Stegostoma tigrinum: one gene and its partner. The protein of the gene in region 1 interacts with the protein of each later gene in a pairwise test. Links are inferred from orthologs where the notes say so. Each region holds a gene or a part of one and is shown on either strand. Other genes may lie near its edges. The genes, in order: lmo3 and wwox.

Region 1 (15,714 bases):
TTTCTTCTCTCTTCTAGGTGGCATCATCAGTGCTGTGTAGCCTCCGTTGAAGCACTGTCGTTCTATCCCAATTTTGAATTTATTTGATCCGTTCTGCTATGGTGGGCAACCTTGTTTCTGATTTTGTACCATAATGGTATGTAGATAGGTCTATTTCAACATGTTTGTTTATTGCATTGGTGATGAAAAACAGGCTCCAGGAATTCCTGTGTGTGTCTTTGTTTTGCTTGTCCTAGTACTGTAACTTTGTCCCAGTTAAATTGATGTCCTTCTATGTTTGAGTGTATTGAAAGGAGGGAGAGTTGGTCATGCCTTTTTGCTGCAAATCAGTGTTCATGTATCCTGGTGGCGAGTTTCCTGCCCGTCTATCCTATGTTGTGCTTCTCACATTTGCTGCATGGTTTTTTATATATCACATTTGTCCTGCTCATTGTGGGTATTCGGTCTTTCATCTTTGAGAGTAACTGGCGAAGTGTGGCTGTTGGTTCGTGCGCTATCCTTATTCCAAGAGGTCGTTGGAGTCTTGTAGTCAGTTCTGATATGTTTCTAATATAGCGTAGGGTGGCCAGTGTGCCGGGGTGTACTGTGTCTTTGCAATCTTTGCAAACATTGATTATTCTGACAGCTTTGACCGCTGATGCCTGACATATGGGCAGGAAACCTATCGCCAGGATACATGAACACCGACTAGCAGCAAAACAGCACGACCAACTCTCCCCCCTTTCAATACAATCCGACATGGAAGGACCTCAACTAACTGGGACAAAGTTACAGAACGAGGACAAACAAGACAGAGGCAAGCACAAGAATTCCTGGAGGCCTGGTTTTCAACCACTGACGCAATAAACACACATATTGAAATGGAACCCATCTACATACCACTACAGTACAAAACTGGAAACAAGACTGCCCACCATGACAGAACGGACCATATAAATCCAAAGCAGGACAGAATGACAGCGCTTCAACAGAGGCTGATGACGTGACCTAGAAGGGAAATGAAATGTTTGCACAAAAACCAGTCAGTTCAGCGAACCAACTAACAACTCCCTAGGGGTGGGAACTTTGTACAAACTCGATAGGCTGAATAGACCTTTTCTGCAATGTAGTGATTGTTTGCTCACTGAACTCAGAAGGAGAACATCCCTGAGTCTAAACTCAAATGAGGACTCACCAAGTGTAAAATTCTCTGAGCTGGTGAAGGATTCGGGTGAGACGCTATCTTTAGGTTTTACTGGCTTCGTCCCCAGAGCTATATTCGAGCTGAGGGCGTCCTGCGCTGGCTCCTTTCTGAAGGTTTTGCTGGGTGCTGCTGGGTGTCCTGCATGAGAGAAGAGCGGAAATTACTTAGAGAACGTGAACAAAGTTTGAACAAATGAAGAAGGAATCAACACCTGGTGGTAATTGGACAGCAGCACAGCACAATGTAACTAACTGGGTCAGCTGCCCCATTTGAGTTTCACAGTGGTCACATGCAAAATCTGCTCTCCTCTGGCCAATTCAACTGTTTTCTTGTTGCAGAGTCAGAAGTTTAATGCCCACTAACATCTTGTCTGTCTCTAACAATTTGGCTCAGCTTTGAGCCCATTTTTTGTTCTGCAATGAGACAAAGGGAGGGATTGAGTATGATGGAAGAGGATGTAAGGGTGGTTAATTGTCATTCAAGAAATAGTTAGATATCCCCAAAGAATGTGTAGGAAATGCAACAGATAAGAAGGGTTATCATTATTGAAGATGAGAAATATGTGAGAGACATTGGGTCTCTCTCGATACTGAGGGTGTGGCCCATTGACCTATGAGAGATATGTGGCAGTGGCAGAGTGTGAGTGAGTAATGGCCCTTTGAGTGTGAGGTAGCAAAGAAAAGATGGTAATACTTAACCTTGCAGAGTGCAGAAGGTCATTGAACATCTTTCTGCAATGCTATACACCCTCTTTGTGTGGGACACTGCATTAACTGTGCTGCAATTTCTGTTTAGCTTGCTGGGTCTGGAGGTGCTACTGTACTGGAAAAAGAACTGACCACCTCTTCATGACCCCATTCACCAACTCTTCAGGTCTTGAACTGTGAAACAGGTGGCATCCTTCACTTTCTGCTGGGGTATGTCCTCAGTGATTAGACTTGAGCAGAACAGTGTGAAAGGTCATTCCTGGATAGCACCGTCTGAAGTGAACTGGAACTAGACTTTTTATTTTCTTTATTCATTCACAGGATGAGGGTGCCTCTGGCTAGGCAGCATTTACTGCCCATCCCTAATTGCCCAGATTCAGAGTCAACCACATTGCTGTGGGTCTTGAGTCGCATGTAGGTCAGGCCAGGTAAGGATGGCAGTTTCCTTCTCTAAAAGGACATTAGTGAACCAGAGATAATGGGAACTGCAGATGCCGGAGAATCCAAGATAACAAAATGTGAGGCTGGATGAACACAGCAGGCCAAGCAGCATCTCAGGAGCACAAAAGCTGACGTTTCGGGCCTAGACCCTTCATCAGAGAGCCAGATGGGGTTTTTCATCTGACAATCAACAATGGACTCATGGTCATCAGTAAATTCTTAATTCCAGATATTTATTGAATTCAAATTCCACCATCTGTCGTGGTGGGATTTGAACCTGGGTGCCCGGTTGTTATCTGTGGTCTCTGGATTTACAGTCTAGTGATAATACCACTAGGCCATTGTCTCCCCTTAAAATACTTCAGATACAATGCCAGAGGCATTAAAACTGGATGACACCAGCCAGTGTTGAGCATTTCTGTCTTGCTCACAATGAGATTCTCAATGAAACATTTGACTTGTTAATTTCTGAGGGTGGAGGTAGAAGATCAAATTGGCCCAGCCATGGCACAGTTGGCACCATGAAACTCAACTACCTCTACACTTAAATGGCAAACAGGAAATTTCAGCCCTTGAGGTCTGAAATTCAGTGAAGGCTGAAGTAAGATTCCATAAGTTGAAAAATGGGGAGGAAAGGACACTAGATCTGTAAAGCAGTTAGATTTAACTTTGTAGGCAGGAGGCAAGTATATTAAAAATTACAACAAAATTGCTGCACTTGTTAATATAGCACGCAGCTAAGCAGGTGATTGGGGTAATTTGAGTAATTAATTGACTAGGTAGATATAAAACTGGGGTTGGTGTGTGGAAGGAGCTGTAAGACTGAGTAGCTAATAAACTGCATCCTCAAAGACAGGTGTCTTAGCTTTGGTCTTACAGATCAGCTTGGCTCCGGTTTGACAGCACTGTTTCAGAGAAATAATAACAAGAACGTAATAAACAGGATTTTTTTATTGTTCAGTGGGATGTGCAAGGTAAGCAATTGTTGCTCATATGTGTTTATCCTTGAACAGAATGACTAGCTGTGCCAATTCAGACGGCTGTTAAGAATTAGAGATAACAAATTGTGAAGCTGGATGAACACAGCAGGCCAAGCAGCATCTTAGGAGCACAAAAGCTGACATTTCGAGCCTAGACCCTTCATCAGAAAAGAGGGATGGGGAGAGGGTTCTGACATAAATAGGGAGAGACGTGGAGGCGGATGGATAGAGGGGAAGATCGGTGGAGGGGAGACAGACAAGTTAAAGGGGTGGGAATGGAACCTGTAGAGGTGGGTGTAGGTGGGGAGGTAGGGAGGGGATAGGTCAGTCTGGGGAAGATGGACAGGTCAAGGGGGCCAGATGAGGTTAGTAGGTAGGCAATGGGGGTGCGGCTTGAGGTGGAAGGAGGGGATAGGTGAGAGGAAAAACAGGTTAGGGAGGCGGGGACGAGCTGGGCTTGTTATGGGATGCAGTGGGGGAGGGGGAGATTTTGAAGGTTGTGAAGTCCACATTGATACCATTGGGCTGCAGGGTTCCCAATCGGAATATGAGTTCCTGTTTCTGCAACCTTCGGCTGGCATCATTGTGGCACTGCAGGAGGCCTAGGATGGACATGTTGTCTAAGGAGTAATTAACTATGTTGCTGTGGGTCAGGAATAACATGTAGACCAGCCAGGAAAGGATGGAAACTTTCTATTCCTCAAACGATGTTAGTGAACCAGATGAGTGTTTACATGCACACCATTGATGAGATTAGCTTTGATTTCCAGATTAATTGACTACATTCAAATTCCATTATCTGCCCCCAGAGCATTAACCAGGACCTCTAGTTTACTGATCCAGTGGCATTACCACCAGGGCACCATCCCTCTCCTGATATGAGAAATATTATGCCACACATGGCAAGAAAGAGAATGGGTTGCAGAAAGCAACTTTGATGGAGTATTCATCATGGAACAATGCTCACTGTTATGACAATTAAAAGAATGCTGGCATAGGCTGGCTAAAGACACCACGTGTAAAAGGGAACTGGTTCATAAAACTGGCAATAAAAGTCGGTAATGTTGCTATAGTCTAGAGGACCATAGGGCTGCTCTCTCATTACAGAGAGATGACTGATGATGGCTTAACCTGAGGATCACCACACCTCAGGTGAGGGGAAAGATTGAGAAGAAGCGTCCAACATTGTGACCTCGGCTTGTATGTGAATTCAACGCATGCTATTAGTGCCACTATGCATTGCAAACCATCCACCCAGAATGCCTCACTCTAGGTTCTGTATATTCCATTGTATCTTTTCTGTGCTCAATTGTAACAAAGCAGGGGCAAGGTCATGGGGAAACAAACTCCTCACAGTATTCAGGTCTCACTTAAATATTTTAATGAAGCTGCCTACCTCAGACACCCCCAGCTTTTATGTTGACCCCCCAGACAGATTTCCTAAGTTAGTAGAAACACAGAAAATTGGAGCGGGGCAGACTAGTTGGCTTTTTGATTCCATTCTGTCATTCAGTATGATCAAGGATGATCAGCCAATTAAGTACATTGTTCCTTCTTTCTCCAGATAGTCTTTGATCCCTTTCGCCCTCAGAACCATATCTGGCTCCTTTTTGAAAACAGTCAATATTTTGTCACAACCACTTTCTGTGGCAGAGAATTCCACAGGCTCAACACTCTCTGGGTGAAGAAATTTCTCCTCACTTCAGTCTTAAATGATCTATCCCATATCCTTAGAACGTGGCCCCTGGTTTTGGACTCCCCAATCATTGCAAACATTCATCCTGCATTTACTTTGTCTAGTCCTGTTTGAATGTTATAGTTTTCAATGAGAAATCACACACCACATTCTTCTAAACTCTAATGAACACAGTCCTAACCAATCCTGTCTCTCTTCAGTCTGAATTCAATTTAAAAAATCTGGAATTGAGAACCTAATGATGACCATGAATCGATTGTCAGGAAAAAACCCATCTGGTTCACTAATGTACTTTAGGGAAAGTAACTGCCATCCTTACCTGGTCTGGCCTACATGTGACTCCAGACTCCCAGCAATGTGGTTGACTCTGAACTGCCCTCTGGACAATAAATACCAGCAACATCTTCATTCTGTTAATGAATAAAATTTTTAAAAATACTTGAATCCTCATGCTATGAAGGCCAAGATACCATTTGCCTTCTTGATTACCCACTGTTCCTGCAGCCTGGAAAACATTAAAGGATCGAAACTTGAGAACTTAGAAAATAGGAATAGGCCATTCACCTCTTTGGGCCTGCTCCACCATTCAATATGATGAGCGCTAGAAATCTGGAAACTAATGGAGGGAAATCTTACTTGCTGAGGAATCAAACTTGTCTTTCCAGGAGGAACAGGAGTGCTCCCCTCCATCATAGAACTCCAGGAAAGCCTGTCTAATGATCCCCCCTTTCAATTAGAGGCCCTCACCCATGATGAAGCTGCCAATGGTCATTGCCCACATCACCCCCTACCCCAGAAATGTGAGCCCAATGTCTCTCTGACCCCTGCCCATTATATTACCCACCATCTCTATGCTGCTCCCTCCTTCTTGTCCTTCCAATGTCTTCCCCGTATGCAGGAAGCCAGCATAATTCTGCAATGCAGTCTCTGTTGCTGTATTCTGAACTTGACAGGGTGCTAAATACTGTATCAGTGATAATGGGAACTGCAGATGCTGGAGAATCCAAGATAATAAAATGTGACGCTGGATGAACACAGCAGGCCCAGCAGCATCTCAGGAGCACAAAAGCTGACATTTCGGGCCTAGACCCTTCATCAGAGAGAAGGGTCTGATGAAGGGTCTAGGCCCGAAACGTCAGCTTTTGTGCTCCTGAGATGCTGCTGGGCCTGCTGTGTTCATCCAGCCTCACATTTTATTATCAGGGAGCTAAATACTGTTGGCCACACTGACTATGGACATGTTTAAAAAAAGAGCTGTCAGATAGTGTTCCTCTCAGAGCTCCTGCCCACTCTTAGAAATTTCAACCCAGCAAACATCAGGTGGTTTGTATTCTTGTGGCTGTTTATATAGTGTGCATGTTTTGAAGATGCCACCCGTTTTGGAGAAGGCAAGGATTTTGCTTGCTGAAATGAGTGTAGCTAGGTTGTGATGATACAAGGCTTCAGACAAGCTCATCGTGGAACATTACACACGAAAATGGTTGAGTGTGGAAACCTTTCTAACATTATCTACGAAGTTAGGTGATGTTGGTCCCCTACTTCTGGCAGGGGCAGGACAATGCAGATCAATAAATGTCCTGAGATAGTAGGAACTGCCAATGCTGGAGAACAGCCCCGACTCGAAATGTCAAGCTTTCCTGCTCCTCTGATGCTGCTCTGCCTGCTGTGTTCATCCAGCTTCACACCGTGTTATCTCAATAAATGTCCTTATAGCTTCTCTCAGATCACCAAGCATAACTCAGTCACTGCATCTGTGCTAACCCAAAATGTGATTCCAAGTCTGCTCATCACCATACCTCCATGATGCGCAGGGAGTCTATTTACTTTGCATTGACCTTGAGCAGTTGTGCATTGCACATTTCCTAAGCCTCTTTGTACCTGAGTTGACCTCTTCTCCTCTTGCAACATTCCCGGCAGTCTTAGAACCTTGAAGCATACCTCCACATTATTCATTTCTCTTGTTGAAGTGGTGAAACTTTGAAATGTTTCTCTCTGTTATGTTCACTATAACCAGGAGGATTATATTCAGTCTTTGACAATCCTGCACAAAGGCTACATGGGTTCACCCACAATTACATTAAGGAGCCCTTAACAAACCATAACATTTAATTGCCCCTAATATTCTTAGTAAAAACCAAAAGAACTGCAGATGCTGTAAATCAGAAACAAAGACATAAATTACTGGAAAAGCTCAGCAGGTCTGACAGCTTCTGTGAAGAGAAACCAGAGTTAACATTTTAGGTTGAGTGACCCTTCCTCAGAGCCCTTCCTAATATTCTTAGAGTGCCTTGAACCCTCAGACCGGCAATAAATACAGACAAGTGTTCACTTTTGGCAAAGTACTGCTGCATTAGTGTGTATAGAATTTGTTTCCCTCATCTCGAAAATTCATTCCACCAATTTTGTGATGTGATGTGACCTTTGACTCCCTCGAGACCATCAAAGTTCCTTTGGCAAATTCTTTGTTTCAGAGGAGAAGTGCACAGTAAACCTTATCCATTAGTTAAAGGATTGTCAAAGCCAATCCACAATTCTACAGTACAGGAAATTTCTACCCTTTTAAGTGCAAAACCATAGTATTACCATTTCCCAAAGTGCTCTCTGTTTTAGGCTGCTTTCCTAATTAGCAGGATGATAACAGCGTTGCTGATTGGCATTATAAAAGCAGTAGTTTGGCTTCATCTGTCCCAGGTGTGCAGTATTTTTCCCTCACTGTTTCAGAGCAGCACCTCTCTCCTTCATTGCTCCTTAAAGTTCCTATCTGAGGAATTAAAACAGATTTTGAAAAAAGACATTAAAACAGAATTTCCCCTGCCACGGCTGATCATTAGTAGCTTTTATCAAAAAGTACAAACCATACAAAGTTAGTTTCTCTTCCCCTTTGTTATCAGAGTAGAATAAAAAGGAAGCAAAGGGGGAGAGGAAAAAAAGACGGAGCTCTGTCAGTGAACTGAATGTGCTATTAAATCTGGCGTCACTACAAAGGTTAGCAGATCTAACTGTCAATACTATGAGCGAGTGGAGTCCAGTAAGGGGGGCTTTGTGAGAAAGAGATACTTTGATATTTTGGAATGTTAGAAGGGTGAATGTGAAAAATTGGAGGTTGGGGATCTAATTACCCAACCGTAATTGGGGGCTGGGGAATAAGTTTCAGTCCTCTCAACTCACCACAGATCAATTATGTTAAGAGAACATCTGTAAGTAGAACTTAATGAGGTCCATTAGAGCAACATGTACAGCCTCCTCTAACAGTACTTGTCAGCTTCTTGGATGAGCTGAAGGAAGCTGCTAACTAGGGACCTGGTGAGGTGCTTAAATACTGGAGGAAAAGAAGCTGGCCCACTCAGGTTTTGTGCTCAGCTTGAGAAGAGAGAGACAGGTGGCCCTTTCATCCCTGCTGTCGCGGTTAGAAGGAACAACTAACTGGTTCTGCCATCATCCCCATGAAAAGAAATTTGCTCTCTCTCTGTCTTCCCCGGAATCAGAGTTTTATTTTCAGAAGAGGAAGAAACAGCCTAACACTTAATTCTTGCCTCAACAACACTGTTTAGTGTTTCTATTTGTGAATATAGGATTTCTGTTTGATCTCCTTTTGAGGAAAAGGAAAGAACTCAAAACAACGCATTAGTGCAAAGCAGTTTTTTAAAAAAGTGAAAACTTGACGGATCTTTTTCTTTGAAACCTGCTCAGCAGTGGTTTGAAATAAGGTGAGTTCTATCTATTACAGTCTTCTGTGTTGAATTTGATTTTAAAGGGTGCTTGTGAAATAGGGGATAAACTGCCTTAGTTGATGAATGGAAAGGTTGCAATATATTTTTGAGAATCAGTTTGGGCTGGAACATTTTTTTTAAATATAAGAAATAGCTACTTTGTTTTAGTTCTTTTTAAAAGGGGTTTCTTGAGAGTTTTCAATTTAGCACTTAATTTGCCCACAGTGAAAGAAAATGCTCGCCTACATTAAAACTCCCTTCTGGCTTGACAGAGGGAGTAAATGCAAAAATTTATGTTTGAAAATGAAAAGAAGGGAGGATTTTGTGGAGATTATGAATTAGTGTTTGTTTTTTTAATATGTGAATATCAATTGATGATTAAATTCCACCTCTTGTTCACCAAATCACTGTGCGTGTGTGTCCCCTAGTATTTCATTGCTAGTCATCACTGCTGATCACATCTGTGCAATGCACTAAGTGGTGGGCCTCTTCAACTGTATGGTTTGTGATGATTCTGTGAATAATTCATATGATTATGAAGAGAGGGGGGAAATGCTATTTTCTGTCTCTTCTGACTTAAAAAATTCCCTGAAAATTGCACGATTGGGAAGATAGTCCGCATTCAAATAATTTAATTCATGACAAAACCTAATTACTGTCAGGTAATACCCTGTCAGTTTTAATGCATTTCATCAGTCATAATGAAAAGAGGAGCATTTTATGACCCATCTTATTATCATTACATTTTGTGTAGTGGGTGGGGGTGGGAATGAGAGAAATGAGTAGCATGGAGCTGAATGTTAACTATTGATTCCTATGTGTTTTCTCTTCAAATGAAGTTGGGGCGTATTATTCACCTCCGAGGAGGTAAAAGTACAATATAGAACCGGGGTTTTGGACAGTTTCTCAGACGCGTGAGAAAATGGTTAAACGTCTGCAACTCGCTGGTGCTATTAAGAATCTATTGCTACAGTCTAAATAGAGTACTAATTACTGGGAAATGATGTCACTGTAGGCAGAAGAATAATCCTATCATTTAATTAGTTGAATGATTTAAACAAAGATTTGCATAGATGCCCTAATCATTTGCCATGAATTACAGAGCAGTCCTTGCAAACGAGGGATAGCAGATCATACAGATTTTTAAAAAAAAACTCATCTCCTTGAACATAATTAATTTAATTGTCCTCATTAGCTGTTCTATTTGTTTTGATTTTGTCTCACTCGCTGCTCTGTATGTGTGCATGTATTGGCTAACAAAAGGCGTTGATATCTCATAGTTGTAAAGGGCTAAACAGTAGAGAAGGTTTTTTTGTGAAACGGGGAGGGGGAACCACAACTCGGCTCTACTACACTTTTTTTGTGAAACGGTTAAATCAATAAGAAAGCTCTCATTAATCCGCAGTCTCTGAAACTGGACGCACTCAAGAGGTTGGTTTTCTAGCTTTTTTTATACACACCCCTCCCTGAGAACGGCTTGTGTGTGTGTGTGTGGTTCTGACTAACCAAAAGCTTGCGGCTGTTCCTAAATTTTCACCATGGGGAAATTAGCCATTGAGACAGGATTCATCCCAGGGCTATAGCTGGACTTGGGTCGACAGCAGAGTGTGTGCGTGTGGTAATATCGAAGTCTGGGGGAGCGCTGCCGTGTGCCTTGTCGAGTGTGTGTGTGCGCGTCTGTGTGTGTGTGTGGCGGCAGCCGCGCTACCTCGCTAATAATTGAATGACCTTTTACTGCATTGTGTGTCTCGCTGGCGAAGGATTGAATTTGCAGATGATGAGGCTGAATTCGTTTAGGACAATTCTTATAAGCTGATAGGTAAGTTGTCCTCCATCATTCGTCGCAGGGAAAGGTTACACTGCAGATACCCAGACGGAACACCTGTAGCTCCGTTGTGATCAACTCGATTACTGGCAGTTCCTTGGGGATCTCATTATCTTTAAAACTTTCTTTTAACGATTCAAGTGCATTCCGTGTGTTGACCTTGCGTTGGAAGAAAGTACACGCTGTATTCTGAACATATTTTGGAGAGGGTTTCTTTTTCATGTTGAATAGAGACGGTAAGTGGAAAGAGTATCCCTCTGGCTATTTCCCGGCTACTCTGGGCTGTGTTTTGCTTTTGTAGAGTGTGCGTTTTATATTTCTGAATGATTTGAACTTTCTGCGTTGTCACTGCGCCCTTCTGTAGGGGACTTATTTGTTTTTTTGAGGCTAAGGTAAGTTTCCTCTGGTTAGATATTTTCTGGGATTCTTGTTAATGGAAAAAAAATACAAAAAGTTTTTTTTTTGTGTGGGGGAGCTCTTGCCACTGCAAGGGGGGGGGGGTTACAAGTAAATTCCTTCCCCCACCCCCTACCAAAAAAGTGTGGGGCTGTCATTCCGCATTCACACTAACTGCCTCGAAGTGTCAGGCTGATGATTGGAAACGTGCGGTACGTTTGTAAAGCGTGTGTCTTTGTCGGTGTCAACAATGACCTGGCTCGGTGTACTCGCTCATCGTCGCCAGTTCACCCTGACGGGGAAGGAACCGGCTCTTCCAGCAAGAAACTGCTAGAGACCTGGTCACCCTACCAAGCACCCCCCCCCTCCCCCTCTTCTAAAAAAAAACGTACACACACCGATGCAAAAAAGGGGAGGAAAGTTATTTTATGGTAAGGCGGCGAACGTGATTCTCGATGCTATTGTATGTGTGTGTGTCTGCGATTCTGCACAAAGCCGAGTTCTTCAGAGGTTTGTGGAATAAGAATCTCTCTGCCTTTTCCACCTATACAAGCAGCGTGACGCCTTCTGTGACTTGCATGATTTTTTATTTTAGTGCTTTCTGAAGGATTCCTTTTTTCTGTCAAAAGTGTTGTCATCTGTAAATGGCTCTCTTCGCATTATTCAAACCATTCTTCTCGCGGGGTAGAGAAAGGGGGGGAGAAAAAGACATTAAATTGAGCATGTTAGCGATGAGAGTGGGCTTTTCTCTTTACTGTGTGTTTTGTATGCTGGCTGCATCAGAAATTGGGGTGGCCGTCGCAAAATCTCATTGGCCTTTGCCAAGCACCAGCACTTTGCTGCCATGGAAACTGTAATTAAACTGATAAGAGTGGAAAAATGTCAGTATCTCTTCAGCCTTACAGCTACATCTAAGAAGGGAGTGGGAATCAAATTGGTTCCGAGCTCCAGTTCTTTATAAAGAAATAGCTTTTTTTAAAAAAAGCCTGAACTGGGGACATTTATTTGCATTGTAATTCCGGAGGGTGGTTATCCGCAGGGGCGCTCTGGACCCATTGAACCAGGAGCGAGAGAGAAAGAAACGGCTTTAAGATTGATTCCAACGTTTATTATTCACCCACCCCTCAAAAATCTTTTGTTTGCCATCCATCAATGATATAATGAAACAGTGTTGGCAAAATTCTCTCCTTCTCATTTACCACCTTTTTTTTATTAAGCGGGACCAAAAACTTCCAATTTGCCAAATCTTTCCCTCAGTCTCTGTGTCTGTCTCTCTCTCTCTCTCTCTCTCTCTCTCTCTGCCCTCCCCTCCCCAGGGACAAATGAGTTAAGGATCGGTTTAGGAATCTGTTCTCTTTTTAAAACAAAACAATGGAGCGCAACATATTCCACGGAAGTGAAAGTCTTACTAATCTTGAGCATGGTAATGAGTTAGTCCCTGCTCCTCCCCTCTGGTCTAGCTCGGTTTTGTTTTTTTTGGCGGGGGGGAAGAGAATTAAGTGCCATTAGGGTAAAAGAGCAGAAGAAGGTGATGGTGAGGTCTGTTTACAATAAAATCTTAGCAATTGGAGTGAGCGCTATTTAAATGGACTGAGATCATTAAGAAATGTAAACACTGTGGACCATGCCCAAACTCTCACTTCTAAATCTAGGTTTCCATCAAATGGATGTGTATGTCTGAGAAGCTATCGAAAATTAAAGGCAGTAATTGCTGTTTTGATCTAAAAATTCTCTTCCCTTTTTTAAAAAAGAGGCTTTTTTAATTCCTCCAATATAATGGACTTTTGGTACTATTGAGATCTGTGTGAACTGGGGAGGATATTTCCAACTGTGGGCACACGAGGTTAGTCCATTAAACCACCAAATGGTACCAAAAACAAAATCGTTTCAACTTAAGTGAACTGACCAGTACTTGGGTGGAAGGGGCGCTATCTTCAGCTGTATCATCAGGCTGCGGAACTGGGCTCGGGGCGGTGTGAAATGGAGAAAGTTTGACTTGTTGGAAATACCATTTGATTGTAAATAACGGATTAAAGTCTCGTTGCTGGCTCTGAGAGGAGGTTGTTTGCGTCTCCTGGTCTGCCATATGGATGTGCATCATCTCTTCCACCAGGGAAGGGTGACACTGTCCAGTTACCATCGCATATAACCAGGCGCTGCCGCTTCTCAACAAGCCTCCCCAGCCTGAACACCGGAGACGGCAGTTGGAGCAGTAATGTTGTCATTTTTTGTCGCACTTCACACAGCCCAGCTAGAAACTGAGTACTCATGATTTAGCTTAACGCGAGCAACCGAATACTGTGCAGGAATAGGACACAGTCATTCACTGACCTGGTGGTGTTGTGTTGGTTTTTTTTGTGTGTCCTGCTCTTCTCATTCCCCTCCCCACTTTTCCTTTCTGTAGGTATACAAATGCTCTCAGCTCAGCCAGACACCAAGCCGAAGGGTTGTGCTGGCTGCAACCGGAAGATTAAAGACCGTTACCTCCTGAAGGCGCTGGATAAGTACTGGCATGAGGACTGTCTGAAATGTGCCTGCTGTGACTGCCGCCTGGGAGAGGTGGGCTCAACTCTGTACACCAAGGCGAACCTCATCCTCTGTCGCAGAGACTACCTGAGGTAGGGCTAGCGAGGGGGTTTGGTGGTTGGGGGGGGGGGGGGGGAGAGCTGAGACAGGGGAAACTTTCACGGCCGAGCTGGCCAATTTTTAAGCGTGTATTTCATTATTTACTATTCCAAGAACAAAAAAATAAATGTTTTGTCAGCATGGTGCAAAGAGTTTGTGGAATGATGTTGAGGTATTTGTCCGGGGGGTGGGGGGCGGTGGATGACCTTTTGATGCAGTCAAAACGCGCGGCCTTGGACACTCTCTCGCTGGGTGAGGAAAGTCTTTGATATGTCGCCTGTTTGTGTGCGTCTCCCCTCCTTTTAGAACCAACTCTGGTTAATAGGGACCACAGATGTGCATTTCTACATATACTGACCTCAATCTGTCCTGCACATGCCCACCCCCACTGCAACATTTTTTTAAAAATGAATTAATATAGAGTCCATTTGCGGGAGCGTTCATGAGCATAGTCTGTGGGGAGTGACGGCTTTTCGGTCTTTGGCAATTGCGAAGTTATGTGAGGGAGTTTAAAATGTGCACCGCAGCTTTTGGTTTTCAGTTTATTTGCCTTGAAGGAATTGTAGGTCACCGCTCCTCTCGGTGCTTTATCTGCAGTCTTACGTCTGTGTTTTTTTTTCTCTCTCCCCCTGCCACTCAGTAACCTTGACCATTTTGGAACACTTTTTTTTAGAAAACTGATCTTCATTTTGCAAAGACACCAAAAGAAATTGCTGCATTAGGTCCCTGGTAGCTGAACCCTGCAAGCTGCAGCGCCGCCCTCTAGTGGACGTTGGGTTGGCATGCTATGAGGAAAACCCGGCAGCAAGAGAATGTTTTGAGTTGGGTCATTAGTTTGCCAATGGTCCACCATTCGTACTATGGTGATGTTCTCTGGTACTCCCTATACTGAAGTGCAGAGTGCTGTTTTTCCTTGATTTTGGGCATGGGGGAATATGTGGAACGATTATTACTCAAATGACTTATAACCACCCCCATGTTGTGGCATCCTGTGTTAACAATACATTTTAATTGTAAGGCATATTTGTGTAAACTCAGCCTGTGTTTCTAAAACACAAGTAAGTCATCAAAAAGCAGTCGGAAATATTACATGCCCTGTTATTGCTTTCATTAGTTATTTTTCCTGATGCCTTTTGATTTTTAAAACAACTTGGTGAACATATTTTAAAGATGCCAGTGTCTTTAGTTGGTGGAGTAATTTGCCTATAGATTGGACACCTGATTTCATTGCAGTTCAACCTGTTTGCAAGTTTCCCTGTTTCAGAAGCAAAGTTGGTCTCTTCCCTTTTTTTTTGCACCTAAACTTCTGGTGGGGTGAGAGGCCTGAGTCGACTCGGGCACCTAATAAGTGTAGGTCTGCTGTGGTTCAAAGATGTTATTCCCACAATTGCTGCTGAAACTATTTTCCTATAAAGTTGAGAATTTTCCAATTGCATCTTTTGGCTTTAACTGTGGGTAGAATTGTTGTGGCAGACAGTAGTTAAGGGAAGCATGTAATTCTTCAAGGGATCTACAAAAACTAAGTCGGGTATTGCAACATGATGAAGGAAAGGCCACTTCAATTCATCTAATCCATGCTTGTACCAAATTGCCTATTACTGTTAATTGTTTAACTTCAATAGTGAGAAATAACTGCTTTAATCCTGAATCTCTGGGAGTGTACATGTGACTGAACGTCTCTAGTAACGGGCCCTCATTGTACAATCTTTTTCCCATGGCTTTGAATTTTATGTTGCTAAGGTTGTTGTGATGTGACTCAAACAAGTCGGGAAATTCGAGGTGATCAATCTTAGATGGATCACAAGTTAGGAGACCAATGATTTTAAGCTTGGTTAATGACAAATATTACAAGATGAAGACATAGAGATACATCTTCAAGGTAAAACTGGGTAGATCCTATTTCAACTAGTGTTAAAAACAATTGCTCTGAATGGTTTGGAGACACTTTTCTTAACAGTTAACCTGCACATGGCTTTTTCAGTCCAAAAGCAGATTCATTAATCAAGTTCAAGGTTGAGTATTGGCTCAGGATCTAAATATTAACTATAGATATGTTGTCTTCTGGTAATGTTTGTCATTAACCAAGCTTAAAATCATTGGTCTCCTAATTTGTAATCTGTCTAAAATTGATCACCTTGAATTTGCTGTATA
Region 2 (15,807 bases), on another chromosome or scaffold:
CTCACTGTACACGAAACTGTCTGCATAGGAAATGGCATCCAGCCCTTTGACTTGATCCAACGCCATTCAATGAGATAATGGGTGATCTGTGGCCTAACTACATATACCTGCCTCTGAAATAGCAAGAACTGCTGATGCTGGAGTCAGAGATAACAAAGTATGCAGCTGGAGGAACACAGCAGGCCAGGCAGCATAGGGGCAGCAAAGCTGACATTTTAGATTGGTCAGCTTTCTTGCTCTTCTGATGCTGCCTGGCCTACTGTGTTCCTCCAGCACAACATTTTGTTACACCTGCCTCTGACCTAGATTCCTTAACAGCTTAACTTAATTCTAAATGTGAAATAGATAAATTGTTATTAACAACTGATCTAACATCAACTGCCGTTTGTGAAAGAGAGCTCCAAATCCCTACCTCTGTGATGCAGAAGTGCTTCTTAACATCTTTCCTAACACTCTGACCCTAATTTTACGCCCCCTAGTTCTAGAATTTCCAACAGAAATCATTTACTTTTATCTACACTATTTTGTTGCTCATATCTTGAAGACTTTAATCAGATCCCTCCATATCTAAATTCTACAGAAAACAAGCCTACTTTGCATGATCTTGCCTCATGACTTAAAACCTGCTGTCTTGAACTTCTTTAATATCAGTCATTACCATCTTGCCCATGTCTTGGGTTTCACAACCCATGAATGTGTAAAAAGAAAATTTGTGCTAAAAGAATCATATAGATTGTTTTAATATTTTAACTTTGTGATTTATAATACGCACCTCCAGCTACACGTTTCTTTTTCCCGGTTTTGGGATGGTCCCATTGGGTCTTCAGCTCAATATGACTGTTGAGTAAAAAGAAAATTGTAAAACTCGTGGCTTAAAATTCTTTGGTGATTTACCTGCAGATCAAAACATAACATTTGTAAACAACCATGAAACAGAAAGACAAACCAACGTAAGGAGCATAACAGAATGAATTCAGTGAAAGCAAAATTGTAAACTATAAAAATGCTACAATGATACTTCAATACAAAAAATTATTTTATTGTATGTTATTTTATACAACTTCATAACCCAAAATTCGATCCTCCGCATCCACACTCGGCGCAAGTGGCTGCCAGTCGACAGCTGAAATACAGAGGCTACTCGTTCTTGCTCTAATGCAACCTTCATTTCCGTACATTACAATGATCCAACTAAACTGGAGGTGGGAGGCACAGATTGAGGTCGGAGGGACTGGAGAAGGGAAACTATGCTGTGTTAATTTGTCATTTTAAAACTTAGCTCAGTTTGACCCTTGGCCACAACACAATCTGATTTTAAATAAATATTAAACGGAATGAGCCACACATGATACTGACACTGGCTGAAAAACCTAGTATCAGAATAATGGGTTACACACTTACAAGTTAGACATTTCTTAACCTAAAAAGGATTTTAAATAACTTCTTCACCCTAGAGGGCTATATGCATGGGTGAATTAATTAAAGTATGAGACTTAAACAGTGGCCTAGGAAGAGTATCCCATGGAAGTAGCACTTACTGGCCGACAATGTTAAAGTGCAGTACAATAATTTGCTATTTTGGAGGACAATACAGCCAACAATAAATGGCTAAAGAAAGAAACAAATAGGGAAACAAATTAATTTTCAAATCAACCTATGATTGTGATATTGTAAGTCGATTTGCTGCACAATGAATCAGTGGATCGTAAGTGACAAAATGGTGAAGACACGGTTTTCTGCAAGAAAGTTAACCAAGTATGGAGGTGGAGACATGAGATTAGTTATCAGCAACAGATGGTGTTATCAAAAATACAACTTCTTTTAAAATTTACTTTGCTAATAATAATGAGAATCATAAATAACAAGTACTTTCCTATGACAAGACTGTGAACCATACTGAAAATCATTTGTTGCATATGAATATCTGAGCCATATTTGCTGGTCTGCTAAACTTGAGCTCTATACTGGAGGTTAAGCATCGCTTCAAAGTTTCATTGGATTTGCAACTCCAACAGACAGATTTTTAATCTACACAGTCTTGCACATAAACAGATTGGGCAAGGAGAGCACTGTAGGAGGTGGAATATTAATGAAATAAAACACAGTAGCTTCGTTGCAGGGCATTTTTGTCAAGACATGAAATCTTTCTACTCTAGCTTCAAACAGAGTCAAAGTTATCCAGCACACAGACAGACCCTTCAGTCCAAGTCAGCCTAAACTCTAGTCCCATTTACTAGGATTTGGCCCATATCCCTGTAAACCTTCCTATTCATGTACCTATCCAGATGCCTTTTGAATGGTGTAATTGTACCAGCCTCCACCACTTCCTCTGGCAAATCATTCCATACATACATCTCGCCAAGTGAAAAAGTTGTCCCTAAGGTCCCTTTCAAGTTTTCCTCCTCTCACCTTAACTGATGCTCTCTAGTTTTGGACTCCCCTACCTTGGGAAAAAGACCTTGGATATTCACCCTATCCATACATCTCGTGATTTAATAAGCTTCTGTATAACATCCGACGCTCCAGGGAAATTAGCCCCAGCCTATTCAGCCTCTCCTTGCAACTTCCAATTCCTGGAAACATCCTTGTAAATTTTTCAAGTCTGTCAATCTTGTGATGATTTCACAAATCCGAATACTAAGGGTAGGAAGAACTGGAGTATTTATAAATAGAAAAACAAGTTTAGAAATAATTATTGGATTTATATCCTGTCAGGTATTTCAGTCCGTTTGAATGACAGCTAATTTTAAAAGCATTCAGAGTATACTGAGGGAACTATTCTTCATTCCAGGAAAAGAGAGTCAATATGATCACAGAATTTTAAAACACCTTTGAACAAACATGAAAATGAAAAACAAGTACGTTACCAAAAGCTCTCATTCACCAAGTAATAAATAACACTCAGTATTTCGATTTTAATTAAAAAAGAACTCATTTGAGCTTCGTGTCTTGACTTCACATATGCATTGATTTAATACAACCAGTTCCTCAGAGTGCACAGTGAAAATCAGTGCCTGGCAAAAGCTCTTTTTGCTAAATTCCATTTTAGAAGCAGTTAGCTCTGGTCGGAGAGCCAAGTGTTTTGGAAACAGACACTTGTTTTGTTTTATCCAAGCAAACATGACAGCAGTCAAAAGTTGAACTACAGCAAGGCAAAGGTAAACCATACTACCTTTGAAAAGGGCAAGGTAAAAATACAAGAGCCTGCTTCTTTTGTTCTTTCCAGTTGAGTTCCTCTCTCCTCCCAAAAGGCAAATGATAGGCACAGAGATACAATTCCACATAGTAGTATGATTTCTGCTGTGGCTATCAGAAATGGCAGCTTTTTGCTCAGCAGTAACAAGAAAGCCCAGGCAATCTGCCGTTACAATTATTAAAAATTCAAAAGCCACACCTCGACTTTCACATACATCTGCACTTCAAAGTCAAATATTCCCATTATGGTGGCAAAGGTAAAAGCTGCTAGATCACAAATTCACATTCAGCCTTAAGAAATTGGATAGAAAGAAGGAAAACTTCTTCCAGGAGATGGATTCCAGGGAGTAGAGAAAAACAGTTAAAATAAAAGCTTAGAAGGGATTGCAAGTTATTGCTTGGACCCAACAGAACAAAAATAATTCAATTCAAGTACTATTTATCTTTCATTGATTTATAGATTTGCTTTCAAGCAATGAAATCGATGTTTGTTTACCTTAAAAACTCTACTCATGGGAAATAGAACAGGCAATGATTAAAAAGTTATTTATGCTTTTTGAGAAGTGATTCTACAAAATCATATTAATAAGATGGCCTCAACCCTAACTTTTTCTTATTTTAAAAGGCAAGTGCTCGGCATTGCATTCCGGTTGTAATTTAATTGGTCAAACTACCAGTGGTGAAGCAAAATGCACTTCATTTATGCACTATAGTTAAAATATAATGAAAGAAAATGAATTGGAATAAGTTTTAACTCTTTGAAAAATTTTAGAGAATAACAGATTATTTAACGACTGAACATTAACTGTTTCAATATAGTAGCATTTCTGGTAAAGGCAAATTCAGTGAGATAGATTGTCTCATGGGCAGCACGGTGGCTCAATGGTTAGAACTGCTGCCTCACAGTGCCAGGAATCCAGGTTCAATTCCACCTTCGTGCAACTCTGTGTGGAGTTTGTACATTCTTACTGCGTCTGCTTGAGTTTCTTCTGGGTACTCCGGTTTCCTCCCACAATCCAAAGATATGCAGGCTAGGTGGATGGGCATGCTAAATTGCCCCGTAGTGATCAGGGACGTTTAGATTAGGAGGGTGAAAGGAGGATAGGTCTGGAAGGGATGCTCTGAGGGTCGATGTGGGCTCATTGGGCCAAAGGGCCTGTTTCCACACTGTAGGAACTCTACGATCTATAAAAAGTGACAACTACTGTACAACCTGACACCCACTGTCCTTACGAATGTTGCATGAGAAATTCTACAGAATTGTTATAGAGCAGGTGGCAGCCAATGGTCCATCACGTCTGCACTTCCAGCTCTCCGAATGAGTATTAAGACTTCCTCCCATTACAACAGTAATAGTAATAATCATAAACCTTCATCCACTGAACCTGCTTCCACCATACTTCCAGGCAGTGCACTCCAGACCCTAACTACACGCAACTGTCAGGCATTCCCTTCTCACAAGGCCAACTTCTTGAAATTTGTGGGAATTCATTAAATTAAAAATTAAATTCAATGAAGTTACAAAACTTTAAACTTTTTTTCTTAAGTATAAGAATCAAGAGAAAGTACTTAGTAAATAGGCAAGGTATTTTCCCAGGGGAGGTGGGGTGTGACAGTTTAAGGTGCAAGGGGAAAGGGGAAGATCTAAAAGGGACCTAAGGGGCAACATTTTCACGCAGAGGGTGGCGCAGGTATTGAATGAGCTGCCACAGGAAGTGGTGGAGGCTCGCTCGATTACAGCATTTAAAAGGCATTTGAATGAGTATATGAATAGGAAGAGTTTAGCAAGCTATGGGCCAAATGGGACAAGATTTGTAGAGGATATGTGGTCAGCAAGGACGAGTTGGACCCAAGACTCTGCCCCTGTGTGGTATATCTCTGCGACTCTTAGACATGAATAAGTTTCAGCAATTTTTAGCTTTGCAGCAGGAGACAGATGCCTTTCTAACAATTTACAAGGGGCCTTTTTTCTCTCCTACCCCCCTTCGTTCCCTTTTTCTCTCTCTACTCTCCACCCCTCCACTTCCTAACCTTACCCCCCACCCAATCATTCCTTCCAGACACCTCCTATCCACCCAACACTCCCCCTCACCACACTGCTTATTCCGCACCCGTCCTCTCTCCCAGCCTTCCACCAACTTCCCACCACCTTTGCCCTCGTCACCCCTCACACCCCCAGCCCTCCATCACTTCTCCTCCCACACCTTTTCTTCTCAGCTCACTCTTTTCTCTCACGCCCTCCCCATCCACCTCCCATCCCTCCTCTTGATCCCCCTCGACTCAGCCCTCACCCTTACTCCTCTCAACCCCTCCTCCTCACGGCACTCACCCTTCCGTTTCCTCTCAGCCCCTGCTCCCATTTCTACCCTTTTCTCTCCGACTCACCTTTCCTCCTCAGTCCTCCCCCTCCTGCACGCCCACATCCTCCCCTTACCCCTCCACCCACCTCACTCCTCTCAGTCCTGACCCTTCATCTCCCACTCCTCAATTCCCTACTACTCCCCTTTATTTTGTTACTGGACTTCGTGATTTCCTTACTTGGCGTAGTAAATCCAGCCGTCTTTTGTGGTCCTCTCCTCCCAGCCAGGAGGCAGTTCATCCTCACTGTCGGTGTCGTCCAGCCCCGCATACTTCAAAGCGGCCATCGTCCTAGCAGGTTCACACCGCAACTGCCAGACTGTTTACCTACCTCACTTCCGCCTCCCCCACCGGAAACAACCGCCATTGCGCATGCTCGCCCGTCACCCTGGCATGCTGGGAGTTGTAGTTTCCTCCACCGGTGTCTAAGATCGGTCTACTCTCAGAAGCCAAATGGTGCAGTTGCTAAAAATCCGACATAAACAGAAAAGTCTGGTGAAATGTTTAACTGAAGAAGCATTTCCTTCAATGCTCATTTTTTTTAACCATAGATTGGGATAAAAGTAAAATACTGCGGTGCTGAAAACCTAACGTTGGTACGAGAGCTGGGAGCTGTAGGAGGCAATTCAGCTCCTCGAGTCTACACCACAATTCATCATGGTGATCTCATATCAGCCTCAACCTCACTTTCCTGCCTGCTCCCCATAACCCTTCAAACCATTACTAATTGAAAATCTGCCTAATTACTTCCTAAACTTACTCAAATGTCTCAACATCTACCATACTCTGGAATACTGAATTCCAAGAATCATCACCTTTGGGAAAAGAAATTCTTCCTTATCTCTGTTTTAAATCTGCTCCACCTTATCCTAAAACTATGATCTGTCATTCAATATCACCCCACAAGAGGAAACATCCCTACTTTGTAAATCTCCTTGAGCATCATATATCTCAATGAGATCTCTTATTCTTCTAAGCTTAACATGTTCAATCTCTCTTCATAGAATCCCTACAGTGTGGCAACAGGCTCCTTGGCCCAACAAGTCCACACTGAACCTCAGAGCATCCCACCCAGACCCATTCCCCAATGACCCACCTAAGCTACACATGCCTGAACACTGGGCAATTTAGCATAGCCAATCCACCCAACCCGCACATCTTTGGAATGAGGGAGGAAACCGGAGCACCCGGAGGAAACGCACGCCAACACAGGGAAAATGTGCAAACTCCACACAGACATCCGAGGCTAGAATCGAATCTTGATTCTGCGAGGCAGTAATGCTAACTGCTGTGACACCCCCTTTTCATAAAATTAACTCCTAATCTCTGGAATATTCTGAGTGAGCAGGAAATGCTGGAGATGGTGTGTATCACTTGCCTAGAATGAAAAGGCAGTAAAAAAATCAGTGATACTTGAAAATGAATGCACCTAAAAACAGAAATTTCTGGAGGAACACAGCAACTCTCGCAGCACCTGTGGACAGAAAACAAAGTTGAGGCCAATAACCTTTCGTCAGAAGTAGTCATACTAGAACACTGTTCTGATGCATACAAGACAAGTTGGATTGTTAAGTTTTACTAATTTTTCCATTTGGGTGGGAAACTAAAAGGTGTTAACCTTTCAGGCCAATGATCTTTCAGTTAATCTTATAAACTTACGATTTATTCACAGATTTCATGGCAATTTCCAAAGGGCCTGACAGCCAATGAAGTATTTTACACACCATTGCTGTTGTACAAAAGGCAATTAGCTATCCTGCAATCAGCAATGTCACAAAACCCAAATCAGTTATTTTTGTATTGATCGAAGAATGAACATTGGCCGGAATATCAGGTATAATTCATCTACCCTTCTTCCAAAAAAAATCTTAGAGATGGTAAGATAACATTCCAAAACATTGACTTGAAAATTACAGAAAACACTATCAAATTCAACTTGTCCCCATAAATCATATACCACTTTGAAATACCTCAGTACAATTATAATAGTCGTTTGATAGAACATAAGTATTGCTGAACAAAAATGTTGTCAAGGCTGGTTATATTGGACTGATCAGGACCATTCACAAGAATAACAATTCAAGGGGAAAACCATCATTTAAACTGTATGAGAGTAGGGTGCTGATTAATTGGCTATTGGATTCTGATTTGTGCATTCATTTCCACGGAGAATGGACCCATTAAAGATGATTGACAGTCCTTCTGGTGATAAGTAAGACTATTACCATCAGATCTTTTGTATGTGTACCATGTCTCATCCCCTCTGCTTATTGTGCTCAACGTGGCAGTGGTCTGGAAGAGACCATTGCCCATCTGCTTGTGGAAAGTGTTTCTCATTGATCTGAAGAGAAATGTATTTTTTCCCCCAAGTATTCATCCCAAGCAGGTCTGTCATGCACACTGACTGCAATTGCAGCTGAATGGCCATCAACTCAGTGAAAGGTAGTCTTTGGCCTGCCGGAAACATGTTGGTCTTCCAGTTTAAAGTATCTTGGAGATTGGCACATTCAAAAGTCTAGTACTCCCACTGAGGGATGCTCTAAAGCTTAAACAGTCACTATTGAGACCAAGATAATAAAATGTGAGGCTGGATGAACACAGCAGGCCAAGCAGCATCTCAGGAGCACAAAAGCTGACGTTTCGGGCCTAGACCCTTCATCAGAGACTCTGATGAAGGGTCTTGGCCCGAAACGTCAGCTTTTGTGCTCCTGAGATGCTGCTTGGCCTGCTGTGTTCATCCAGCCTCACATTTTATTATCTTGGAATTCTCCAGCATCTGCAGTTCCCATTATCTCTGATACTATTGAGACCAGCTCTGATGAAGAGTCATCTAGACTCAAAACGTTACCTTGCTCTGTCTCCATAGATGCTGCCTGACCCGCTGTGATTTCCAGCAATTTTTGCTTTCAGCTGTAGACAATACTGTGGAAAATGTGACAGTTAATGATGACTAATAGTTAACTACCAGGTTTTGTTTAAATTTTAAATCAGGTAGATCAACTCGGATGTACCAATGACATTGCAGTAATAAATAAACCAGAGAATAGCTGTCACCACTTTAGTTGCACTGAAATAGGTACAGTATATGTATATGCTCTTTCTGTCTGTTGAGAACAAGACCCTCTGTATTAGTATATGTAGCATCCAGTCTATGCAAGTGTGGTTACTGGAAGCCCAGCTGACAATCCTAAATTCATTATTAGTATAATTCAAAGCGTACTCAGCATTATGTTGTAAATGTTTTCCAATTACAGAATCACATGTAATGTTGGACACTGTGCTGCACATTTTGGAAGTACAGGCTGTTTGGGGATGATCACTGTCTCACTGCTGCAAACTGCCAAAGAGATTTGCTGTTCGGTACAAGCCACCAGTTTTCCAGAACTACAACATACATACCTAGTATCCAACTCACTGAAATTCATTCCACATTTCTCATTTGTGTGATAAGCAGAATGTCTTTTAGTATTGCGAAAATCTACCTTCACTATTTAATATAAATGTTGGGATTCCTACAGTTCTGTATGTTGTAGATTAGCTTTATTGGCAAACCAACAAATTGGGTTTCTAACAGTCATACCAAACTTGAAATATTAAATCTGTTTCTCTCTCTACAGATGCTGCCAGATCTGCAGGGTTTCTCCTGCAATCGCTGTGTTCGTTTCAAATTTCCAACATCTGCATCATGTTTTTTTCATACAAATGTAGTTTATGAATTTCAGTTCTGTACCGTACATTTAGAAAATAGGTCTGCAGACTACCAAACAAAGTTCAGAAAAAGGGTCTAGGCCCGAAACGTCAGCCTTGCTGCTCCTCTGATGCTGCTTGCCCTGCTGTGTTCATCCAGCTCTACACCTTGTTATCTCAGATTCTCCAGCATCTGCAGTTCCTAGTATCTCTAATGCCCATAATCATTCATTTCAGAGGCTTAATTCACCCAGTGACCCAGAAACAAACATTTCAAAGCATTTTACAGTAGAATTATCAAACAAAATTTGAATCTAAGTAACATATGATTTCAGAACAGATGAGCAAGAGTCTGGTTAAATAGGTCAATTTTAAGGAATATCTTAAAGGAGAAAATAAAAAGAGAGGCGTAGCAATTTGCAGTAGAATTTAGGCCTCAGCAGCTGAATGCATGGTTGTCAGTGGTGAAGTAGTTAAAATCAAGAAACGTCAAAAATCCAAAATTGCAGCTGCACAGAAATTGTGGAGGATTGAAGGGCCAGAACAAATTAGAGACGGAAATGGGTGAGGCTGTGTGGCAATTTGAAAAGAAGGATGAGAATTTTAAAACTGGAATATGGTTCAACAAGGAGCCGATGTGGGTCAGCAAACATGGCGTGATATCTAAAAGGAAGTTAGCGAAAACAGACTTTTGGATGACTTCAGGTTTACAATATTTGGAACGTGGCAGGTTAGGAACGTGATGGAATAGTCAGGATTGGAGATAACAAAGCCATAGATGATGGTTTCAGCAGAAGACGAGCTGTGGCAAGCAGAAAGCATGAGGGGGAAAACCAAATATCAAATACAGTGACTTCAGTCTTTCCATTATTTAGTCCGAAGAAGATTTCTGGTCATCCACTACTGGAAATCAGACAAGCAGTCTGGCAAATTTCAGTAGAGAGATTAAGAGAGGTGGCAGTAAAGTAAAGTTCATCCCTTTACAAGTGGAAAGTAACACTGTGTTTTGGAATGATGTTGCCAAGGGCAATATTCAATTGAGATATAAGATCAACGAAGCAGGCAACGGGTGGTACGGTGGCTCAGTGGTTAGCACTGCAGCCTCACAGCGCCAGGGACCTGAGTTCAATTCCAGCCTTGGGTGACTGTCTGTGTGGAGTTTGCACATTCTCCGCATGTCTGCGTGGGTTTCCTCCGGGTGCTCCGGTTTCCTGCCACAGTCCAAAGATGTGTAGGCTAGGTGGATCAGCCATGCTAAATTGCCCATAGTGTTCAGGGGTGTGTGGGTTATAGAGGGATGGTTTTGCATGGGATGCTCCAAGAGACGGTGTGGACTTGTTGGGCCAAAAGGCTTGTTTCCACACTGTAGGCAATGTAATCTAAAAAAAACCTGATACACAGAACAATCAAAATATTATTGGCACTGTCCCTTTGCCTCAGAAGATGGAGGTGAGGTCATTGAATATTTTAAGGTGCAGACAGATAGATTCTTGTCAAGCAAAGATATAAAAGGTTATCTGGAGTATGTGGCAATGTGGAAATCAGAGCACAAACAGGTCAGACATGATCTTAATGTGTGGCAGGGCAGGCTTGAAGAGCGAAATGGCCTCTTTGTGCTCGTAATTTATACATATGTAACCAAGATGCTACTACTGCCCCCAACGGTTGTTCCTACAAATCTGTTTTGTTTTGTAAAATTCTAAGATAGTCTATTTTGTCTTTTAAGACCGATTTTCAAACAAAGTGCTGATAACAGTTTCCTGTGCCGAGCACATAGTTATAATGTAGACTGCCCTCAGGACCCATGAAGCCAAAAGTAAACAACAGCAGCTTTTCCCATGAACGAAAGTCAAAAATATGGCTTTAATAAGCCCCTAGAGAACAATATCTGAACAACAGGCAGCAACAATTTACCTGGAAGAACAGAAGTGCTCCAGCATAATGATAGAGGAGAGAAAACTTTGCAATAGAGCAATGAGAAAAGCTACAAATTAGATATAAATGCACTGTGCTATGTCTAATCTTCAGGAAAAGGGATATTGGGTTCCATGTGTATTCTCTATCCCTAGCAATACAGCTCAGATTCAATGGGGATATTCAGTACAGTGAGATCTAACTAAAGCACAGCCACCAGTAATGGGCAAAGGCACGGAAAGTATAGGCTAACTCAATAGAAGTTTGGTAAGATAATGAAGCCCTGACAGGATTTAAGTGCAAGAGTGACAAGTGGACAATGACAATGAGGAACCAGATAATTATCAGAGAGAATAGTTGTGATAGCCAACTGGGACTTGATGTGGGGTAAGATAAAATATGGCCGCTGAATGTTAAGCTGAAATTTATGGAGGGTTTTCTACAAAGGCAGAGAATCAGCAGTAAGGTGATGAGTGGCAAGAGCATTGAAGCAGTAGCAGTCATTAAATTGGTGAGTGAAACTGAAAATTTATTGTGTAAAATGAACATAATAAAGGGTAAAACCATAAAATGTAGGAGCAGAGGTATGACCGTGATATCGGAGCAGAGTTAGGCCATTAAGCCAATAGTCTGCTCTGTCATTTGATCGTGGCTGATACATTTCTCCCTGTAATCCTTGACCCTTTTATCAATCAGGAACCCATCTATCTGTCTTAATGACGCTAAATGACTTGACCTCCACAGCCCTCAGCAGCAGTGACTTCCACAGAATAACCACACTCTGGCTGAAGAGATTCCTCTTCATTTCATTTTTAAAGAGGCATTCCCTCTTTCTAAGGCTGAGCCCTCAGGCCCTGTCTCTCCTACAAGTGGAAATATTCTGTGAGTTTCAATCAAATCCCTCCTCATCTTTTAAACTCCATCGAGTACAGACCCAGAGTCCTCAACTGCTCTTCATACAACAAGCCCTTATTCCTCAGGATCATTCTCATGAACCTCGCATACATCCCCTCTAACGTCAGTATATCCTTCCTTAGATCCAGGGCTCAAAACTGCTCAGAATATTCCAAAGGCAACTTGATAAGTGTCTTATACAGCCTCAGCATTATATCCCTGCTCTTGCATTCTAGCCCTCTTGAAATAAATGGTAACATTGCATTTACATTTCTAACTGCTAACTGAACCTGCATGTTAACCTGAAGAGAATCCTGAACTAGGACTCCCAAATCCCTTTATGCTTCAGATTTCTGAAGCTTTAGAAAATACTCTTTGCCTTTATTCCTCTTACCAAAGTTATAAACTCACATTTTCCCTTGTTCTCCGAGACTGTCCATGTCCTTCTGCAGGTTCCCTGCTTCCTCAACACCACCGGTCCCTCCACCTATCTTTGTCTCATTTACAAACTGAGCAAAATGCTTCGGTTCCTTCCTTTAGATCATTAACGTATAACATGAATAGTTCTGGTCCCAACACACACTACTGTCGAACTCCACTTGTCACTGGCTGCTATTCTGAAAAAGACCCCTTTATTCCTACTCTCTGTCTTCTGCCAGTCAGCCACTATCCATGCCAATACCTTGCCTCTAACACCATGGCTCTGTGTTATTTAGTAGCCTCTTGTGCATAAACTCGTCAAAGGCCTTCTGGAAATCCAAATAGATCATGTTCACTGGCTCTACTTTGACTAACCTGCCCATTACCTCTTCAAAGAATTCTAACAGATTTGTCAGGCAGGACCTCCCCTTGATGAAGCTGCGCTGACACAACACAATTTTGTCATGCACTTTCAAGTACTCCACAATCTCATCCTTGAAGTGGCCACAGTCAGAATAACCAGATTTTAGTTTCTTGCCTTCTGCCTCCCTCCCTTTATAAACAGGTGTGATACATTAGCTATTTTCCGATCCTCTTGGACTATCCCTAACTCCAGCGATTCCTGAGAGATCACCACATGCCTCCACATTCTCCTCAGATGTCTCCTTCAGAACTCTAGAGTGTAGCCCATTTGGTCTGAATGATTTATCCACCTTCAGACCTTGAAACTTCCACAGCACCTTCTCCTTAGTGAGAGCTACTTCACTCACCACTGTTCCCCAGCTCTCTTGAAGTTGTGGTACACTGTTGTTGTCTTCCACTGTGAAGACTGATGCAAAGTACCCATTTAGTTCCTCCACTTAAATTGCTTATTACTATTTCTCCAACCTGATATTCCAGTGGTCCAAAATCATTCTTCCCTCTCACAATTTACATATGTCAAAAAAGCTTTTGCAATCTTCTTTAATATTACTAGCTAGCTCACTCTCATATTTCATCTTCTCCCGCCTCATTGCTTTTAATTATCCTCTGCTGATTTTTAAAGGTTTCCCACTAATTTTCAACAGATTGTATGCTTTTTCTTTTGCTTTCATGCTGTCCCTGACTTTCCTTGTCAGCCATGGTTGCCTCACCCTCCCATTAGTGTTTTTTCTTCCTTGGGATGAATTTCTGCTGAGCCTTCTGAATTGCCCTCAGAAACTCCTGCCATTGTAGCTCCACCATCTTCCCTGCTGGGCTCCCCTTCCAATTACCCTGGCCAGCTCCTCCCTCATGTCTTTGTAGTCATCTTTTCTCAGCTGTAATACCATTACAACTGATTTCAGCTTCTCCCTCTTAAAGTGCAGGGTGAATTCTATCATATTATGGTCACTGCCCCCTTGGAGTTCCTTCACCTTAAATTTCCTAATCAAGTCTGCCTCATTACACATCACCAAATGCAGTATTGCCTGTTCCCTAGTGGAACTCTAGGAAGAAAGAACCATCTCATAGATATTCCATGAATTCCTTTACTTGAGATCTGCTACTGACCTGGTTTTTCCAGCTCACCTGGATTTTGAGGTCCCCAATGATTGTTGTAATTAATGCCTTTTTTTAATCTCCTGATTTATTTTCATTCCCACATCCTGACTACTGCTCAGCTTGTACATCGCTCCCATCAGACTTTTTCCCTTTGCGGTTTCTCAATTCTCCCACACAGATTAGATGCCTTCTGACTATCAATTTAATTTCATTTATTACTAATAAGGCAACCCCAACCCCTCAGCTCATCTGCTAATCCTTCTGATCTGTATCCTTGGATATTTAATTCCCAGTCCTGATCCTATTGCAGCCATGTCTCTATGATACCCAGAATATTGTATCCAGCAATTTGAAACTATGCTAAAAGCTCATTTACCTTGTTTCACATACTGTGTATATCTAAGTACAACACTCACAGTGGTGTTTCTGAAGAAGGGTCCCAACCCAAAACGTCAGCTTTCCTGCTCCTCTGATGCTGCCTGGCCCACTGTGCTCCTCCAGCTCCACACTGTGTTACCCTCAGTGCTGTGTTGACTGCCGTCCTTCTCATAGTTGTCCCCTTATCTGCTGTGCCCGAGATTAGATTCCTGACCCCTTCTATACTATAGCTCTGATGAAGGGTCTAGGCCCGAAATGTCAGCTTTTGTGCTCCTGAGATGCTGCTTGGCCTGCTGTGTTCATCCAGCCTCACACTTTGTTATTTTGGATTCTCCAGCATCTGCAGTTCCCATTATCCCTTATATACTCACTAAGCTTTTATTCTTCATGTACCTATTCAAGCTTTTGTAATCCGTTTCTATGTTCCTGCAAACTTACTCTCACATTTTCCTCTCTCAATCAATCTTGTTGGCCACCTTTGCTGAAATCTAAATTGCTCCCAATCCTCAGAGGGATTTTTGGCCAATTTGTATCCCCCTTCTTTGGATCTAACACTTTCCCTAAATTCCCTTGTTAGCTACAGACAGGCCACCTTCCCCATTTTATTTTTAACCGTAAGCTGCCAAATGCTAGAATAAAAGTCACCTCTTTCCTCCAGCAGTCACCCCAATCCATCCATGTAGGATGATTTACAACAGATAAATTGATTAGGATTTCAATTAATTTTAATCATGAGTAAAGCATATCCCTGAAAGGGTAGTGAGTGAATCTGTGGAATTTGTGGTGCCAAATGTCATGAATCTCAGGACATTAAGTGAATTTAGAATCATAGACCTGTGCTTCTGCAAGAGATTGAAAACACTGGGAGTTGAGCTGAGTGTGGGAATTTAGTAATATAAATCTTGATCTTTTGCATTCTTAGAACTAAAACTGCAGTTAAGATGCAAGGAGGAGATGACAGATTATTAATTAGCATTGAGTTGACGCATTACAGAGATTGTGCAGGAAAGTGCAATTGAGGCTGAGGTAAGATATGATCGAGTGAATGACAAATTCTTGCTCTTAGTTTTTGAGAAGGGTCAGTGGTCAGGTATGTTAAGTGTTTTCTCTCTCTCTCCACAGATGCTGTCAGACCTGTTGAGTTTTGCCAACAACTTTCTGTTTTGCCCCTAGTTCTTAAATTGTGATTCAGATCTCGATACTACAGTCCAGGCTGAGTTTTGTCAGTCACCCTCCTTTGATGGGTTCACTGAGACTTCTCAAGAAACACCAAAAGCTGGATAACAGGCTGATTGCAGCTTTGGCCCTCAACCCACAGCATTACCCTGACCCCCTGTGGTCGGAGAGGGGGTAAGTATATCCGGGTCAAGAAGGATTTCCTGCCTGCCTAGCAACCGGTCGTTGCCGAGCTGTGGTCGTTGGTGGCTGGGGCCTTCAGGA

The links.
Region 2: the proteins of lmo3 (region 1) and wwox interact in binary tests that used the Homo sapiens proteins (3 or more experiments, as listed by UniProt). The link is inferred for Stegostoma tigrinum from reciprocal best matches to the Homo sapiens genes LMO3 and WWOX.

Annotation. Positions count from the first base shown.
Region 1 is NC_081378.1:43,078,432-43,094,145, reverse strand, and holds the start of lmo3 (LIM domain only protein 3), read left to right. Parts: upstream 1-9,503; 5' UTR 9,504-9,514; coding exon 9,515-9,584; intron 9,585-9,795; exon of another isoform or gene 9,796-10,148; intron 10,149-10,212; exon of another isoform or gene 10,213-10,536; intron 10,537-10,569; exon of another isoform or gene 10,570-10,762; coding exon of another isoform or gene 10,763-10,778; intron 10,779-11,139; exon of another isoform or gene 11,140-11,338; coding exon of another isoform or gene 11,339-11,369; exon of another isoform or gene 11,370-11,393; coding exon of another isoform or gene 11,394-11,448; intron 11,449-12,339; exon of another isoform or gene 12,340-12,361; intron 12,362-12,587; exon of another isoform or gene 12,588-12,781; intron 12,782-13,036; exon of another isoform or gene 13,037-13,150; intron 13,151-13,342; coding exon 13,343-13,556; intron 13,557-15,714.
Region 2 is NC_081369.1:54,056,582-54,072,388, reverse strand, and holds the start of wwox (WW domain-containing oxidoreductase), read right to left. Parts: upstream 5,889-15,807; 5' UTR 5,841-5,888; coding exon 5,734-5,840; intron 838-5,733; coding exon 773-837; intron 1-772. UniProt on the Homo sapiens protein: Putative oxidoreductase. Acts as a tumor suppressor and plays a role in apoptosis. Required for normal bone development. May function synergistically with p53/TP53 to control genotoxic stress-induced cell death.